Drosophila melanogaster: one gene and its partners. The gene in region 1 interacts genetically with each later gene. Each region holds a gene or a part of one and is shown in the gene's direction. Other genes may lie near its edges.

Region 1 (5,101 bases):
TACAAGCTAATGAGTGGAGGAATTTTGTTGATTGTTGGAACTACTTCTCGCTGCTCTTCCAGATTTTAATGGCATATGAATTTTGTAGGGCGCCGCTAGCAATCACATTTGCCGTGGGATGGCAATGTGTGCTCAAAATCTGGTCGCCCTCCGTGCTTATCTTTTGCACCAGCTCCCTCGTCTGCAGATTCCAGATGCAAAGCGTATTATCCTCGCTGCCGGAGACAATCCAAATGCCGCCGGTGGTGGAAAAATTGGAGTTGGAGCAATAGAACTCATTCAAATGCCCGCGATAGGTCCTCATGCACTTGGGCTTCTTGTAGTTCCATAGCCTAAGGGTGTTGTTCAATGTGGACGACAGGATGTAGCGTCCGTTCGGTGAGAACTTCACATATCCGACCGGGATGTTGTCAACGTCAACGAGAGTCTTCAGCACATGCCCGGTGCTAGAGTCCCACAAGCGGACCAGCCCATCATAGCTGCTGGTGACAAAAATATTGCCATCGCGGTGGAAGTCCACCGATGTTATGGGATCCTGGTGGGCGTGGACGATTTTGAGCGTTTTGCCAGTGCGGACATCCCAAAGGCGCACTGTTTCGTCAAAGCTAGTGGAGGCCAGCAGATTGGCCTGCGGATTAAAGCAGCAGGAGAAACTGTACCTGGAATGCCCCTCCAAAACTTTGACGCAGAGCTTGCTGCGGGCATCCCAGAGACGCACGGTCATGTCATCGCTACAACTGGCAATTAATCCAGCCGCCGACCAGGCGACATCGTTGACTCCGTCTCCGTGCCCGGCCAGCGATTGAATGCATCGGGTTGCGCTCAAGTCCCAGAGCTTAAGCAGCCTATCGCCGGAGCTGCTGACCAAGTTCTCGCCATTCGAACTAAACTTTAGACCAGTAACGCAACCACTGTGACCGAGGAGCGAGTGCTTAATGGCGTAGCCCGGAGACATGGAGTTCTCCAAATGGAACTGACTTGGTAGCATAGGCATCTTAAAGGAATCGAAAGCGGCCTCCGGGATGGCGATTTCAGTTTCGGAATCTCCAGGAGTCGAAGCTGTTTCAATCAATTCCATAATTTTATTTTTTTCGCCCAATTTTAATTTCTTACGAATCCTGCGAAAAGTTCGAAAACTTGGCGATGATGGTGACAGTTCCTGAGTTGACAAAAGCTTGCTGATATTTTGTAAAAAGGGTTTTCATTTCATCATTTACCCGATTATTTTTGGCGCCCAGTTTTAAGTTTTTATTATTTTTTTAAATTAATTACCTACAAATGTTGAGTCTGTTTTTAATTATCGCGAGAAAAAGTACACACGTACTGATAATTCATTAAACACTTTTTTACAATATTTGTCTAGTACATACAATTGTTAATTGTTTCTACAACTACTTATAACTCATTTAGTCAATATTTGTTTGAATTCCCAGACAGGGGGCGTAAAAAATCAGACTGGAAAAAGTAAACAAGCCCAATTAATTTGCGTTTTAAGGGAGTACTTATTTGGCGACAGGGTGCTCTATTTGCGCAGCCTGTTATTGTTATGCTGTCCAGACTTGTTAACCAAACATTAAACAAATGGCCGGTGCTGTGCCGTGCCGGCAATTTGTCACCTAATTATTTGTCGACGCTGCTAATCTTACATATGGGCAAAATTGGAGAATGCGCGATAATCAAGTCAGTGAACTTAATATTTGCATGGTAATTTAACAGACTTAAAGTGAATTTTTAACTTAAATTTTAGTAACATTTGGATTTTAACTGCACATATATGCCTTTATTATTTTATAAAGTTTGAATCAATGAATTTTTATACTAAAAATGTGTGCTAGTACTAGAATGAATTGAAATTATTTATAATAACTGGAACGTGTTGCTATCGATTTTTTTTTGTCAAAATTTATCTTTTTTATTAAAAATTGAATTTCTACATTAAATGTTATTGATGGTATTTTGTAACGGCTAATTCAAATGATCAACGGTCACACTAGCCAGTGGAGCTGCCAGCTATCATTTGAAATTCAAGTAAAGTTGGCAGCCCCCTGGCGTCTGAAAAATAGCGCGAAGTGAAGTAAACTAAAAAGTATCCCTTCAACCCACATAAACAGCGCAAAATGGACAGCAAGGAGGTTTCGGAGGTGCCAAGGCGGGAGGTGCGCTCCTTCCTGATGGCCCGGGATCCCTCCATCGACCGCCGCTTTCGACCGCGACCCAACAAAAAGATGCGTCTGTTTGACAACATTCAGGAGTCGGAGGAAGAAAGTTTTTCCGAATACTCGGACACGGAATCGGAGTACAAGTACCAGTCGAGCGAGGCAACCGAAGGGGCCTCATGCGCTACCAGTGCGGCAGACAGCAGCAACGTGGAAACGGGGCCACAGGTCTTCCTGCGCTTGCGTCCCGTTAAGGATGCATCCAAAGCCTACATAGTCTCGGAAGAAGCAAATGTGCTGATCACTAGCTGCAAAGTGGACTCGACCAGCAACAATGTGAACCGCATGGAAAAACACTTTGGATTCACTTCCATCTTTGACAGCACCGTTGGCCAGCGAGACATCTATGATACCTGTGTGGGTCCCAAAATTATGGAGGAGGAATGTGTGACCATTATGACATATGGCACATCGGGGTCTGGAAAAACGTATACCTTACTGGGTAAGCGAAGAGGACTTGCAACAAGTTTGCTGGGCAATTGTTAATTTAAATCCATTTTTAGGCGATGATGTGCGTGCTGGAATCATTCCGCGTGCCCTGGAAAACATATTCACCATTTACCAGGACACCGTCTTCCGATCGCCCAAGCTGAAGCTAATCAATGGCAGCATCGTGTTCTTGCAGGACGACGCCTCGCTGAAAGAGCTGCAGATTCGGAAAAAACTTTTAGACTTATGTCCGGATATCAGTGCCCACCATCAGCGTCTGAAGCAGGTCATTGATGGCGACCACATGTTCGAAACGAAGGCTTCCACCGATGTTTCCGTCTTGGTTTGGGTGTCCTTCGTGGAGATCTACAATGAACTTGTGTACGACCTGCTAGCCATTCCGCCGAAACAGGACAAACTGGGGGAGGTGCCACGAAAAAACCTGAAGATCGTGGGCAACAAAGGCCATGTGTTCATCAAGGGTCTGACCAGTGTTTTCGTGACGAGCAGCGAGGAGGCGCTGCGTCTGCTCCGGCTGGGCCAGCAGCGCTCCACGTACGCCTCCACCTCGGTGAACGCCAACTCTAGTCGGTCGCACTGTGTCTTTACCGTGGACATACTAAAGTACAATCGGTCGGGCATCACCACACAGAGTTCGTACAAATTCTGCGACCTGGCGGGTTCGGAACGCGTCAACAACACGGGTACCTCCGGCCTTCGTCTCAAGGAAGCAAAGAACATAAATACGTCGCTGATGGTGCTGGGTCGATGTTTAGATGCGGCCAGTACAGTTCAGAAAAAGAAAAACGCCGACATCATTCCATATCGCGACTCCAAGCTAACAATGCTGTTGCAGGCTGCTTTGCTGGGCAAGGAGAAATTGGCCATGATCGTGACAGTTACCCCTCTGGATAAATACTACGAGGAGAACCTGAACGTCTTGAACTTTGCTTCCATCGCCAAGAACATCATCTTCAAGGAGCCCGTAATTAAACAGCATCGCGTCAGCTACTGTGGTTTCATGGAATTCTCAAAGATGTCGACGTGCGAGGGCGGCGACTACACCAAGGAACTTGAGGACGAAAACGTGCGCCTGCAGTTAGAGATTGAGCAACTGAAGTACGATCATGTGCTGCAAATGCAGCTGCTTGAGGAGAAACTGCGAAGGGAACTGACTGCCACCTACCAGGAGATTATCCAAAACAACAAGAAGCAATATGAAGACGAATGCGAGAAAAAATTACTAATTGCGCAAAGAGAATCAGAATTTATGGTTAGTAAATATAACAATATAATATAATAGTATATAATATAAACTATATATTTAACAGCTTTCCTCTCAACGCCGAAGGTATGAAGAACAAATAGAAGACCTCAAAGATGAGATAGAGGAACTTAAGAATCCTGCAAGCGACACGGACATTTCTGATGATCCAAACGAATCTAAGTCTCCCATCGAAATCCTCGATGATGATTAGTTTCTTTAATTCACAATTTTTAATTTGTTAAGTGTTAGTGATTTTAAAATTTAAATTTGAAACTTGATATGTTGCAGAGTTGGCCACGTTTTCCAATAAACATGTGAATGATCAATAAACTAGTGACACAAATAATGATGTGATTCTGTGCCAAGAAACTTCGAGCAAGAATACCAGAATCGCAATTACCATAAATGTTCCGTACGCCTGCCACATCCACTGAAAATCCACAATCCTTAGCGAGGTAGGGTGCTCTCTTTCCTTCAACTGCAGGCTGGGATCCTCCAGACCGGACAATCCAGCTGCTGTCATGTCGTAGTAGTGCATTCCCACCCAGAAGTCATAGAGTCCATTGGCATTTACCTCCAAAATAAGTTGGCTGACGGGCTCTGTGAACAAGGAATTCTGCGGCCATTGGAAAGAGAGCAGCGCCAGGGACCACAGGCAGTCATCCGTGGAGTAGATAAACAGCTCTCGGGTGAAGCGCTTCTGCTGCTCACTGAACAAATTCCAATACAGTCGGGAGGCGAAGTAGGCATTGCTTGTGTTCCTTCCATTCCTCAAGTGATTGTACTCACTCACATTGACCACCAGCATGGGCACACGCAGTTTCATCCATGTGGGAAAGTCTTCCTCGGTCGTAACCAATGGTATTTTCGTGCGACGCAGACCAGCGAAACTTCGTGCTTGAAATTGCCGTGGTGGATGAGCCATTAATGTGTCCAGTCCCGCTCCAAAAATGCTGCTCACATTAAGACCCACTATTCCAAGCATCAGAAATATCAACCTGGTGGAGAAGCTTCTCGACAAGGGCAAATTGAAGGATTGGCCCAAGATTCCGCGTAAAGCTTTATCATTTAGCACAAAGTCCACCAGACGCACATCGCGATGGGTCATGTTTCGAAGGAGATTCAAAGCCAATCCATAACTGGAAACAATAACAATAGCCAGGAACATATTGGAAGCACTGCTCAGGAT
Region 2 (5,308 bases), about 10 Mb from region 1:
GCGTCGTCGTCCACCTCGACGCCTGTGGGTGTGCCGTTGGCCGCCGCCTGGAAGTGCGACTCCTTCTCCAGCCGGTCCATCAGCAGCTCCATCGTGTCGATGCCCACGGCGTTCAGGCCGAGTCGCTGGCGCTCCTCGTTCATGTGCTCCAGCCAGGCGGAGTCCTCCTCGTCAACGTCGTACTCCACCTCCCCGTCCAGCTCCTCCAGGGACTTTTCGATGAAGCGATAGTAGGCCAGCGGCCGTGGCGGGGCGTCGGACACTCGGTAGTCCGGAATCTCGGCCACCCTGGCCACGGGCACCTGGACCCTTGCCCAGGGCGCGTTCTCCTCCAGCGGTGGTGCGTCGGCATTCAGAATACAGCCCCTGGCCACTAGGGCGGCGAACTCTTCGTCCTCTACGAGCGGCAAGGCGTCGTCGATGCCCAGGCGCACGCTCTTCCCGTCCAAGTTAAACGTCACCGTGGCCTCCTCCTCGTTGTAGGACACCAGTGACTCTGGATTGGCGTACTGCCGGGCGCTGACTCCGCTCGCCGATCCACCTCCTGCGCTGGCCGAGGAGCAGCCGTTTCTGGCCTCAGCTCCACCGCCACCCGGCGTGGGGTGATCCTTGTGCGGACGAGGCGTGGAGTGGTGGCCGCCGGAGCGTGAGCGCGCCTTCTTGCGGCTCGGAGTCAGCACGGGCGTGAGCGGCTGTGGGTTGTCGTGGTCGTACTTCATAAGATGGTATTGCAGACCCATGATGGTCTTGTAGCTGCGGTCGCAGCCGCGGACGGGACAGGCGAAAGGCGGCTGGGACTGCTGGGTCTTCACCCCTTTGCAGTATTCCACTGCGTCGAAGTCGAGGCCCATGATCTGGATCTGCGGCGCGATCTGTGGATCTGCTGCAGCTGGCTTCTCGGGGTTTGGCGGTTCGCTGGTCGCGGATCGCGGGCACTGTGTCTACTCCGCGGCACGGCTGCGCATACGTATGTGCATCCCACGGTGGTCGTCGCAGAGCGCGCGGTTTTGGCTGTCCACCGTTCCTGGTCGATTTTCGTTGGCTTGTTGCAAATTTTTTAACAAATGTGCTAGAGATGGGCTTGCTGGTCAGCTCGCCATGGCGATACTATCGTCGGAAGTGCTTGTGCAGCACTGGACGTTTGCTGAAACTTGTTTGAAATATTTCCGGTCCTTTACGCAAATTAATTCTCTTCCGTAATCTATATTTATAATTTAAATGTTCCTTTTTGTTCTTTCCCTTACCATTTTCCCTCAAATTTGTTTACAATATGTTTTTTGGGGAGCCGTGCAGCACTGCTTTCTAGAGATGGTAGTGGCGGGAACGTATTGGAACTGGTTCACCTAATGTTATACTTTCAAAATTTACAGGGCTAGAAATCCAGTACGTAACTATTTAAATAACCCAATAATATTATTTTAAAGAATTCAAATAAATATCTCCCAATATTCACTCAAAAAACAAGTTTTGGTTGTGTTTTTCATTTTGCGCGGGAACTTTATCGCCCGTGCAGTGTTGGAAAGCAGAGGCATAAATGCGCCTTACAGCACCCGACGAGCTGTTAACTGTCAACAGTGCACAATTAAAGGCATGTTATCAAATGCTGACGCGCGTCGCAATTGCCGCCATTTGAAAAAAACGATAAAATCGAAGGAACCGAATCCGGATTTGCAGTTTGTCAGATACAGTCGCTAGATATGGAGGACATCTTGGGCGTGCTGGGCTCGCTTTCGGACCTGCGCAGGGAGCTCGAGGTCCTGCGCAAGGTAAGCCAGGATCAGGAGACGAAATTCCGACACTGTCAACATGGCGTCATATGTGTTTTTTAGGCCCACTTTGAGGAGCTGGACCACCTCTTCTACGGCACAGGCCAGCCGGAGGCGGAGGCCAAACCGAGGGACAGTGCTCCGGCAGCGAAGAGTCAGGAGAACTCTTCGGTGACGCCGCAGCAAACGAAAAAGCGCCCCAAGCGACTCACCTCACTGGCCGAGGATCAGAATGAGCCCGAGGGTGAGTATCCTGGCCATTTTAAAGCATTAACGACCAACAACCCCTGTGATATTCCATTTGAGCAGCTCCAGACGCCACGGCCAACAACACGTCGGCCCGTCAAAGCACTCGGGTCAGCAACTCCCAGTTGCTGGCTATCGCCGAGGACGAGCACAACTCCACGGCCTCGCTGATGCCGCCTCCGCCTGTGCCCGTCTCGGCGGACACCACCCTCGGCTCCGGAAGGCCACAGCGAGCCGCTAAGCTGAAGACCGAGAAATTACTCAAGGAGCCCTCACTCAACCGTAAGATGCGGCGGCCCAGCAGCGAGGAGCTCGTAAAGGTCAAGGTTGAGAGCGAGCAGCGAGTCTCCCAGTTTAACAGCTTCACCAGTGCACAGGCGTTAGAGGAAAATAAACTAGCGGAGCCGGAACTAGAAGAGCCAGCAGCAGAAACAGCTGAGCAGCAAAAGCCTCCGGAGGAGGCCTCAGTCACAGAGGACGTGAACACCACGAAGACACTCCGCGTGAAGGTAAAGCGCGAGAAACTCAGTACCGAAGCAGTGCCCCCGTTAACCAATGCGGTCTCCACGGCAAATGTGACCACCGTCTCCTCTGTAACAACGGAGGCAGCGCGACCGGACGATACGGTGGCCAGCAACACGACGACATCCACGGAGGTCTCCAAGAAGGTCCGCAAGAAGAAGAAGGACGTGGAAAGCCACCGACCCATAAAGGTGGAACGATTCAGCGACCTGGACAAGAGCTCGCCAGTCTCGTCGCGCACGCGCAAGTGTAGCAGCGATTCGCGAACGGTTCAGGAGCGATCCATATACAAGGATGCACTCGAAGATCCGCCCGTTGCAGAGCAATCAGTGGCTGCAGTTGCTCCGGCTGCTGTCAATGAGACCGTGGCGATTTCCAACGCCACCCTCGTACTGGGTCCTGCGCCGACGAGCGATAGTCCAATAGGACCAGCTGGAGATGCCACTTTTGAGGTGCACTCCAACGACAAGAAACAACCTCTGAGTAAGCAGGACAGCCTCTTAACGGAGGACGAGTCGGTGGAGGAGAAGCTGCCGACGACCAAGCTGCTCTCGAGCATAAAGGCTATAAAACTGCCTACCCGTACACATGAGCTTTTCAAGTGAGTAGATACCCTGCCTCTTCATGCATGTTATCCTTCTAAACAATCTTTGCACTTCTACAGCCCACTGCTTCAGAGTCCAGTGAAAATGCGCGTGGAGGCGTTCGAGAATGCGGCAAACGCACAGAACAGCATGCGCCCTAAGCGGGGAAAAGATCTGGTAGGTACAGTATAGTTGCACATATATAGCAGGCAGATAGCAGGCAGAATTAGGCTAGACTATTCACCAGTTCTGTATCAATTGGCGCTTTCTAGAACTGTTTGATAGGTGATTCATTTATTGTTATTTTTTTTTACTCTTCAGCAGGGCACGCCAGGATCAAACAACACTCCCAAAATTGGCAAGCTGCCTGCTCCGACTGTTGGTCGCTTTTTCACACCGACTCAAACGACAAGCACACTACCATTAAGCTCGGCGCAGCCCAAGAAGGGACCTGCCAGCGCGTCTAAGGCCACTAGTCTGCTGAAGACGGCCACCGGTACGAACCTAAGGTCGGTCAATTCCACGTCCACAAAAACGCTGTCGCGCGAGAACAGCGGAGACGACTTCCGCAAGGGCCTGCACAATCTGGCGGAGGAGCGCAAGAAGCTGCGTGAGCAAAAGCACCAGCAGGCTGCCCAGCAGCGCGAAGCCAAGGAGCGGGAGCGGGCAGAGCGTATGGCCAAGCTGGCCGCCGAGCGCGCCAAGAAGCAGGAGGAGCGAAAGCGAATTGAAGAGCGCAAACGACAAGAGCTGGAGGAGCTGCAGCGGAAGATGCGCCAGCAAGAGGAAGCCGAGGCGCTCAAGAAGGCCAAGTTCAAGGAGCTGGAGCAGCAGAAACTGCAGCAGCTAACCGGCGCCAAGCCCAAGAAGATGCTTCCGCCGCCGCCGAAAACCAAGTACACCTGGGAGATGCTGCACGAAGACGACTCGACAGACGACGAGGGAAAGGTCACCCACAAGCGTCCCCCAGCGCCCACCTGGAGTCGAAGTAAGTTTGTGGATCATTTCGAAGAGTTATTTTCGAGATACCTTATTCATCGTAAATATATACAAGTAAATACACCAGATTACAGTCTGATTTCCATTGGGACTACTAAAGGAAATGTTCTTAAATATAGATTCTGACTTATGTGTTTATTTTCAGGCCACGTAAGGGGAGAGGCAATTGCTATGCAGAGCCACTGCCCAACCGACATCATCGACAGCTTTTTCTCGGTGGCGCCCACCACACCGGACCTAAAGCAGATATTCCCGAACATCGATCCCAGCCAGCTGAAGCGAAACTCCAGCGTGCTGTGGTCCACGCCGCCGCGCTATTCCGAGCTGCCGAAATACTAGCCAAGTAGTCCTGCTCTCTTCTCCCGTAAATGCACATGTTTATGATCGAATAAATAAAGTTAATTGTGAAAATTAAAGCGGAGTACCGCTGCGCGATTCACTGCGACTCTGACACTAATATCCAGCTGCTTTAGAACTATTAAAGCCGCCAGCGTGCTCAATTAATGGTTCGCTGGTGGCTGCTTGCCGATTCCATTAGCCAAGTTGCCCAACAATGGATACGTCGATTCGTGAAAAGTGTGAAAACGCAGAGGAGGCAAGTAAACGAAATAAAAGAAAACAAGCCCGGCAAACACAATTTCACTGGTCATGGGGCATGGTTTTGTGGCATGATGCGCAGACGATCGAAAAGACTGCCTCGATTCGATTCTCCTCCATCATGTTTCCATTGCTGCTAATCCCACTTTTCCAACGAGCCATTCTCATTTTCAATCGAAAGCCGAAATCAGCGGAATCGGCATGGGCAATTGGCACAGTAATTGCTGCTGATTAGAGTCGACTCCATGTGGAAGTCGCCGCGGATCCACCCATGAATATGATTCGATGGGACCATCTTAATCCGCAATCTAATTAAGGCGCGTACGCTCCCCAAATTGCCACTTTCAATTGTTACTGTTTCCGTTTAAGTGCACTCTGTTAGTAGCTCCACTTCCCCACGGACCCAAGTCGATTGGGGCTGAATCTATGTGAATTCCATGTGGCACATTGGATACTCTATCAAAAACTGTAAGGAAAGATAGTAACACATCTAAATGAATAAGCTCTAAAATTCCATCAAATGCCACTTTTGTGATCCATCAGTTTGCAATTCTTTAGAACTTTTGAAAGACCAACTTTTAGATTTTCCCATGT
Region 3 (6,077 bases), on another chromosome or scaffold:
GATGATGGATTTCGTCATATACATAATTCTCATATGTCTTCTTTTCAAAAAAAAGTGAAAGTAATTTCGAAAAAATTCAGAGATGCGAACGTGGTTCCTTTGGAAATGAAAACATTTGACCCAATTTTTGTGCATTATTAGTTTTGCTTAAAACGCAGTTGCCTCTTTCATGTTTCTAACCCAACTCTAGAAAATTATCGCGAGTACATCAGTTTCTTTGAAATGAAAAAACTAAACTAAGTACTACGTTTCATAGCTTCATCTACATACAGTTCTTTGTTTTGGTTTTTTTTTTGGTTGTGTGTAGTGGGAGGGGGGTTGGGTGGTGTTCTACGGGCGAACACCTTCACCCTGGGGAATCGGGAATTCTCGTGGCGTAGAGAACAAAGGACAAAGACTTGCAGTCTTCTGGCATTAAACCCACCGCATCCGCCTGCTCATCGAAGACCTCCGAGACCAACTGCGTAAGTGAGAGAACAGAGACAAAGGAAACAAATTAACTGGTGTTCGCCAAGGAGCCATGGTGCACTTACCGCGTGAACCTTGAGGAAATCGCGCAGCGATCGCTGGCAGTAGATGATGTCGTTCTTCAGCTCCAGCGGCAGCACGTAGTACTTCTCCATGTAGTACCTGAACTTGGCGTACTTGCGCTCCTTATGGTACTTGCTCATCTTGTTCCGATTATATTGACGCTATATATATAACGACGGTTATCGTACGAATCACGCACGCGACTGATTTCGGATGCGTTGCAATTGATGCACTTGTGGGAATTTTGGGCAAATTTTCGAAAGGGAGTGGGGTGGGAATTGAAACCGAATGTGGTTAGAAAATGTGATAGATTGATCACTACATTCGTAACTGATATCTGGCCGAGGAACTTCGCAATTTAAGATAAAAATGTGTTGCATCAACTGGTGGCGTTGCCAGATAGATGAATACATGTGCTCGTTCTCGTAGCGAATTTTTAATCTTAATATGCGTTTAATTATGAATTTGGAGAAATAAGGACGATGTGCGTCAATAACTTCGATGACGGAACGGTGGAATTTTTGAACATGGGGAAGTTTTTTAAAAATTAATTTTTCGTTATTTAGTGTTCCAAAATGCACGCAAGACCATCAAATTAGCGTCGATGAGTTAGAGTCGATGGCGGAACGGTGAAATTTTTGAACATTGGAAAGTTTTTTATTATTTTTTTTTTTTTTATGGGTCAAAATATGAACAAGCCTATACAAAAAAGTACCCATGAAAGTCATTTATGTTTGGTGTTGTTGACAGAGCGTGTTCCGGAATGCCGTGCTTATAGGCTTATGTAGGCCTAATTAAGTAATGATCCTTAAAAAATTCATCAAAAATTTATCTACAGTTTTGCAGAAAATCGTCTACAAGTGGAAGGAGTTTAAATGCCACCTTCTCCAGTACTACAGCCAATAAATATCATGAACCGCCCTATTAACGATAAGAGTTCTCCGCTGACTTTATTTTATTATTATTTATTTTATTACATTGCACTATTATTTATATTTATTATTTAACTCAGCTCACAGAGCGTATTCCGTCGTACGGCATCTCAAAAGTTTCGTAATTTTATTTATTATTTATTCAAAAAGTTTCATTACAATTTGATAGACAGTTTTTTTTTTTGTTACTACACGTGTTCTGTATATCTACTAAGCCATATATTTAATATATTATATTAAATAATTGCAAATGGTGTGGATGGTATATAAGTAAGCGCCAGAATTTGGAACCTCTCTATGCTCGCACGGTCACACTGGCCGATAACGAAAACATCGAGGCAACAGCTATACTTCATTTATCACTCAAATCTGGCAGCACTGCATTGTGTTTCGGCAAAAAAGAAAGTTGTGGTTTTCTAGGAATTTCGAGCAAAATGTAAGTAGAACTACAAAATGGGCTTTAAATTGTGTGCAAATTCGCTGCCAGCCTGGCTAATTCGCCACCGTGATGTGAATAAGTGCTGTGCGGCATGACGCCAGTGACGCCCCAAATTCGCATGCAATATGGACGACGGCGTCGCTTCGCCTGGAATTGTGTGCTTTATTCCCGACCCAGCGGCTTTTGCTGTCTGTCCACCCGGCCACCGCCCACCCGGCTTCCGGCCACCAAGTCCAGCCGGTTAACAAGCCCGATTGCCGGCTAGAGTTGTACAAAACAAGTGGCGTATAGAGCTTCCAGAGATTTCGCTGACAAAAAAAAAAGAAAAACGACGTGGTGCCGCCTCGTGCTGTTATCCCTCCTTTTCCGGCTCATGGCAAGCTCTGCAGTGGAAAAGCGCCGTCCAATTGGGACTGTCAGCTCCTCCGTACGCCACACCGAAGCAGGACAAATGTCCTTGTCCTTTGGCCATCGGAACATTCTCGCCGACTGCCATGCCATTCGCATTTTGTGAGGTTAAACATGAATCGCAAAAAAAAAAAAACGGCAATGAATTTGCTTCATGTTTCTTCTGCCGGCGGCGACGTCGGCGTCGTCGTCTGTCTGCGTCTGTTCGTCGTCCGTGTGCGTGTGCATGTGTGGGTGCGTATGTGTGTTAGAATTCGATTTGTTATTTAGAATATATAAATGCGATTGGCGATTTTCACGTGAATCGCGACTGCTGCGCTGTTCGCCAGCCAGCAAATGAGCTAAGAAAACGCTGCACTATTTGTATGTCGGCATTTTTATTTTTTGGCGCGCTTCGCAGCGTCCACAGGTTCTCACCAATACGAGTGCATGCGTGCGTGTGTGTGCTTGTAATTTGCCGGCGTTACAGGCGGCACTCAAAATAAGGAATTTTCCTGCTTTTATGGGCAGCACCAGTGGTGTGATGCGCAGGAATTTCACAATCTTGCCATCCTTAAAAAGTTACTCATTTCAGTCTCCAAAAGGAATGAGTCATCAAATGCCTTTTTCAGCGTTTTACGAAATATATCCATTCAAATTATTCACCTCATTTCAAATTGATGAAACTGATCTTGATTCATGCTGAAAATATGGTCATCTTTATTGATGAACTTGGTAGTTTGCTTTAATTCTTTTAAAAAGTACTTCTATTTGCTATATGGCCATTTCATTCAAAACCTATATTTACCAATATTTCTTCTCTATAACTTCTTAAATTTGTATATATCTTTGATTACAGTTCGCAGTAAATCATAAACAAATGTTATGCTATATACAGTACAAACACAATAACGCGATCAAGTTTCTTTAGTATGAAAATTTTGTTTACACTGCGCTTTTCTTCGAATGTTTTGAATGTCTCCAATTCTACGCTTAATATTCCGAAACTTATGCCAAGCGTTTATGCGCGCTAATTATTTGCGAACAGAAATGTCAGCATTTATTATTCACTTTGGTTTCCTATGCTCGGGTTTAAATTAGTATTACCCAGGTCAATTGTGGGTCAGAGCCGCCGTGGGTTTTCCGGGTCTCCTTTTGTGTGGCAAACTGTTTTGGGCTGCGCATAAACGTGGTGGGAATGTATGTGTGCGAGTATGCAGAGTATATCCTTCCGCCTCCCTGCCGCCTTCTTGTTGTTGTTGTTGTTTGGTGCGCCTGGCATTTCTGCTTACCTGCACACACAGCCAGCCATACCCTGTGGCCATCTCGCTCTGGCTCGGCATCTCGGCCTTCTTATCCTTGCGGGCTCAGCGGGAGCGGCAGCTGCAGTGTCCTTTGTCGTTATCCTGCTCGCTCCTCGCCGAACAGCTGGTCGCCGTCCTTGGCGGGCTTTGACGCATCCATTGTGCACGTCACATTTTGGACGGCTCGCAGGACGGGCAGTCAGTCGCCTGGCGCTCGCCGAACCAACAACATCCTAGCCAACACATTCCGCTCCTGTTCCTGTTCCTGCTCAAGCTCCGCTATATATATATATATTTAAATATATAAAGTAGCATAGTAGTTGCAAGTTGCTAACCAGCCAAACGCAATTGTTCCATCTGCAGCTCACCGTTCCAGAAATTTTGCATTAACGAAGATACCGAGTGCTTAGAAGGATGGCTCAGGAAGGTCAGGATATACCCACATTCAAGTGCGTGCTAGTCGGCGATGGCGGCACCGGCAAGACCACCTTTGTCAAGCGGCACATGACCGGTGAGTTCGAGAAGAAGTACGTGGCCACACTGGGCGTGGAGGTGCATCCATTGATCTTCCATACCAATCGTGGCGCCATCCGTTTCAATGTGTGGGATACCGCTGGCCAGGAGAAGTTCGGCGGGCTGCGCGATGGCTACTACATTCAGGGCCAGTGTGCCGTCATCATGTTCGATGTTACCTCGCGTGTCACGTACAAGAACGTGCCCAACTGGCATCGCGATCTAGTCCGCGTCTGCGAGAACATACCAATCGTCCTCTGTGGCAACAAAGTCGATATCAAGGATCGCAAGGTGAAAGCGAAGAGCATCGTCTTCCACCGAAAGAAGAACTTGCAGGTAAATAAAGAAAAGCTGAACTTTTATTTGAAATTTTGTTAACGTTATTGTGCTTGTGCCTTCTTTTTTGTCAAACAGTATTACGATATTTCTGCCAAATCGAACTACAACTTCGAGAAACCATTCCTTTGGCTGGCGCGCAAGCTGGTTGGTGATCCCAACCTGGAGTTTGTCGCCATGCCAGCCCTGCTGCCGCCCGAGGTTAAGATGGATAAGGATTGGCAGGCGCAGATCGAGCGTGACTTGCAGGAGGCCCAGGCGACCGCACTGCCCGACGAGGACGAGGAGCTATAAGCCTATTTGTAGTTAACTTAGAGCGAAATCCGACTTGCGCGAAAACACAAACACACACACACTCAAACACAAAACCACAACACACAACACCACACCGAACATAGAACACTGAATCACAGGCACCGTATGAAAAGGCGTGGCAAGAGGGAATGAAGGATTACGGATTAGAGGAAGTAGCATTAGCAGTAGTGTACTATCCGTACACTATTGGATTTGCCAGCCTATGTTCTTCGATCGATCGTTGGGAAAATCTACAAACAAGCCCTTCTTAATACGTCGATTGTATTTAAATTTTAGATCCCCAATTCATTAATAAGTCGGTTATAATTGATTTTTTTTTTGTTTGTTTCCTTATACGTTGGCTCTTGGAAAAAAAGGAGTAAGTAAGTAGTATTGTCATTAAAGTGCTAAAGCAGCAGGCAACAGCAACTTAATCGAAAACCAAGAGAAATAAATAGTCGCAGAACGTATTTTTTTAAAACTTGCAACACCAATGTTCTTTTCCACCCAAAAAAAAAAAGGAAGAAAAAACCAAGTTACTTCAACAAAAGTGTGAATGTTAGAAACGAGCGAGACGGCATGCTCGGAGCGAGCGAGAGCGCAATAGCTGGCCAATGAACTGAGTCCCCCCAAAGGAAAATTAATACTATTGAAAAAAGAAAAGAAAGGAAAACACTGGAAACTATGAGAAAATAACCTATAGACAGGCCGCCGAATTCGCATCCACATGTTATTAATCTAAGAACTAAAGAAATAAAAAATAAACGTCGAAGAAAAAAAAACTAAACGAACGGAGCTGGATTTGCATTTGAAAGATGATAAGGAAATGATGCTAGATTATAGTTATCGCATACCCTGTAATTGAATGGGTAGCACATATATTCCGTTAGCTAATCGTCTACTGTTTACATTTCTACATTTGAATACACTGTTCTTAATGAAACTCCTCGGATTTAGGGACACTTGAGGCAGCAGGCAGGGAAAACTCCGGTGAAGCGATCCTTGTTGCCGCAGGTGACCTTCTGCTGTCCACAGCTGAAAAAAAGATATTGTAGATGGCTTGGTTAGAATCATGTGGAGATCGGGGCAAAGTTCAGCTAGGAAATATTTTGTTTTCTTCATGCAACCTAAGTTGCTAATTAAGATCGCTGTCATGATGCACTTACTCCTCCACGATGGTCTTGAAGGTGTCCGTGCAGATGGCCCGCTTGAGGCACTTGCCATCCTTGCCGAAGTCCACGTAGTCCTGTCCGCGTCTCAGCAGCGGCAGATACTTGAGAAAGATGGTCTCATCCTCCGAGTTGCGGTAGGAGCACACGGGTTCGCTGGCTACGTACAAGA

Evidence for each region.
Region 2: of sub (region 1) and Incenp, changing one enhances a phenotype caused by changing the other (phenotypic enhancement), as found in Drosophila melanogaster (one study listed by BioGRID).
Region 3: of sub (region 1) and Ran, changing one suppresses a phenotype caused by changing the other (phenotypic suppression), as found in Drosophila melanogaster (one study listed by BioGRID).

What each region holds. Positions count from the first base shown.
Region 1 is NT_033778.4:17,744,995-17,750,095, reverse strand, and holds sub (subito), read left to right. Parts: upstream 1-2,017; 5' UTR 2,018-2,117; coding exon 2,118-2,658; intron 2,659-2,719; coding exon 2,720-3,918; intron 3,919-3,976; coding exon 3,977-4,123; 3' UTR 4,124-4,234; downstream 4,235-5,101. Other genes in the region: CG10931 (uncharacterized protein), read right to left, coding at 41-1,078; Ir54a (ionotropic receptor 54a), read right to left, coding at 4,235-5,101. UniProt on the Drosophila melanogaster protein: Required during female meiosis for bipolar spindle formation in the absence of the centrosomes and chromosome homolog segregation. Also has roles in male meiosis and mitotic divisions of the early embryo.
Region 2 is NT_033778.4:7,277,032-7,282,339, forward strand, and holds Incenp (inner centromere protein), read left to right. Parts: upstream 1-1,574; 5' UTR 1,575-1,697; coding exon 1,698-1,766; intron 1,767-1,829; coding exon 1,830-2,010; intron 2,011-2,075; coding exon 2,076-3,135; intron 3,136-3,198; coding exon 3,199-3,295; intron 3,296-3,439; coding exon 3,440-4,106; intron 4,107-4,262; coding exon 4,263-4,456; 3' UTR 4,457-4,764; downstream 4,765-5,308. Other genes in the region: Br140 (Bromodomain-containing protein, 140kD), read right to left, coding at 1-851.
Region 3 is NC_004354.4:11,144,308-11,150,384, reverse strand, and holds Ran (Ran), read left to right. Parts: upstream 1-1,804; 5' UTR 1,805-1,899; intron 1,900-3,788; exon of another isoform or gene 3,789-3,969; 5' UTR 3,970-4,007; coding exon 4,008-4,442; intron 4,443-4,520; coding exon 4,521-4,736; 3' UTR 4,737-5,533; downstream 5,534-6,077. Other genes in the region: Lint-1 (l(3)mbt interacting protein 1), read right to left, coding at 425-460, 534-671; CG15201 (uncharacterized protein), read right to left, coding at 5,690-5,771, 5,903-6,065.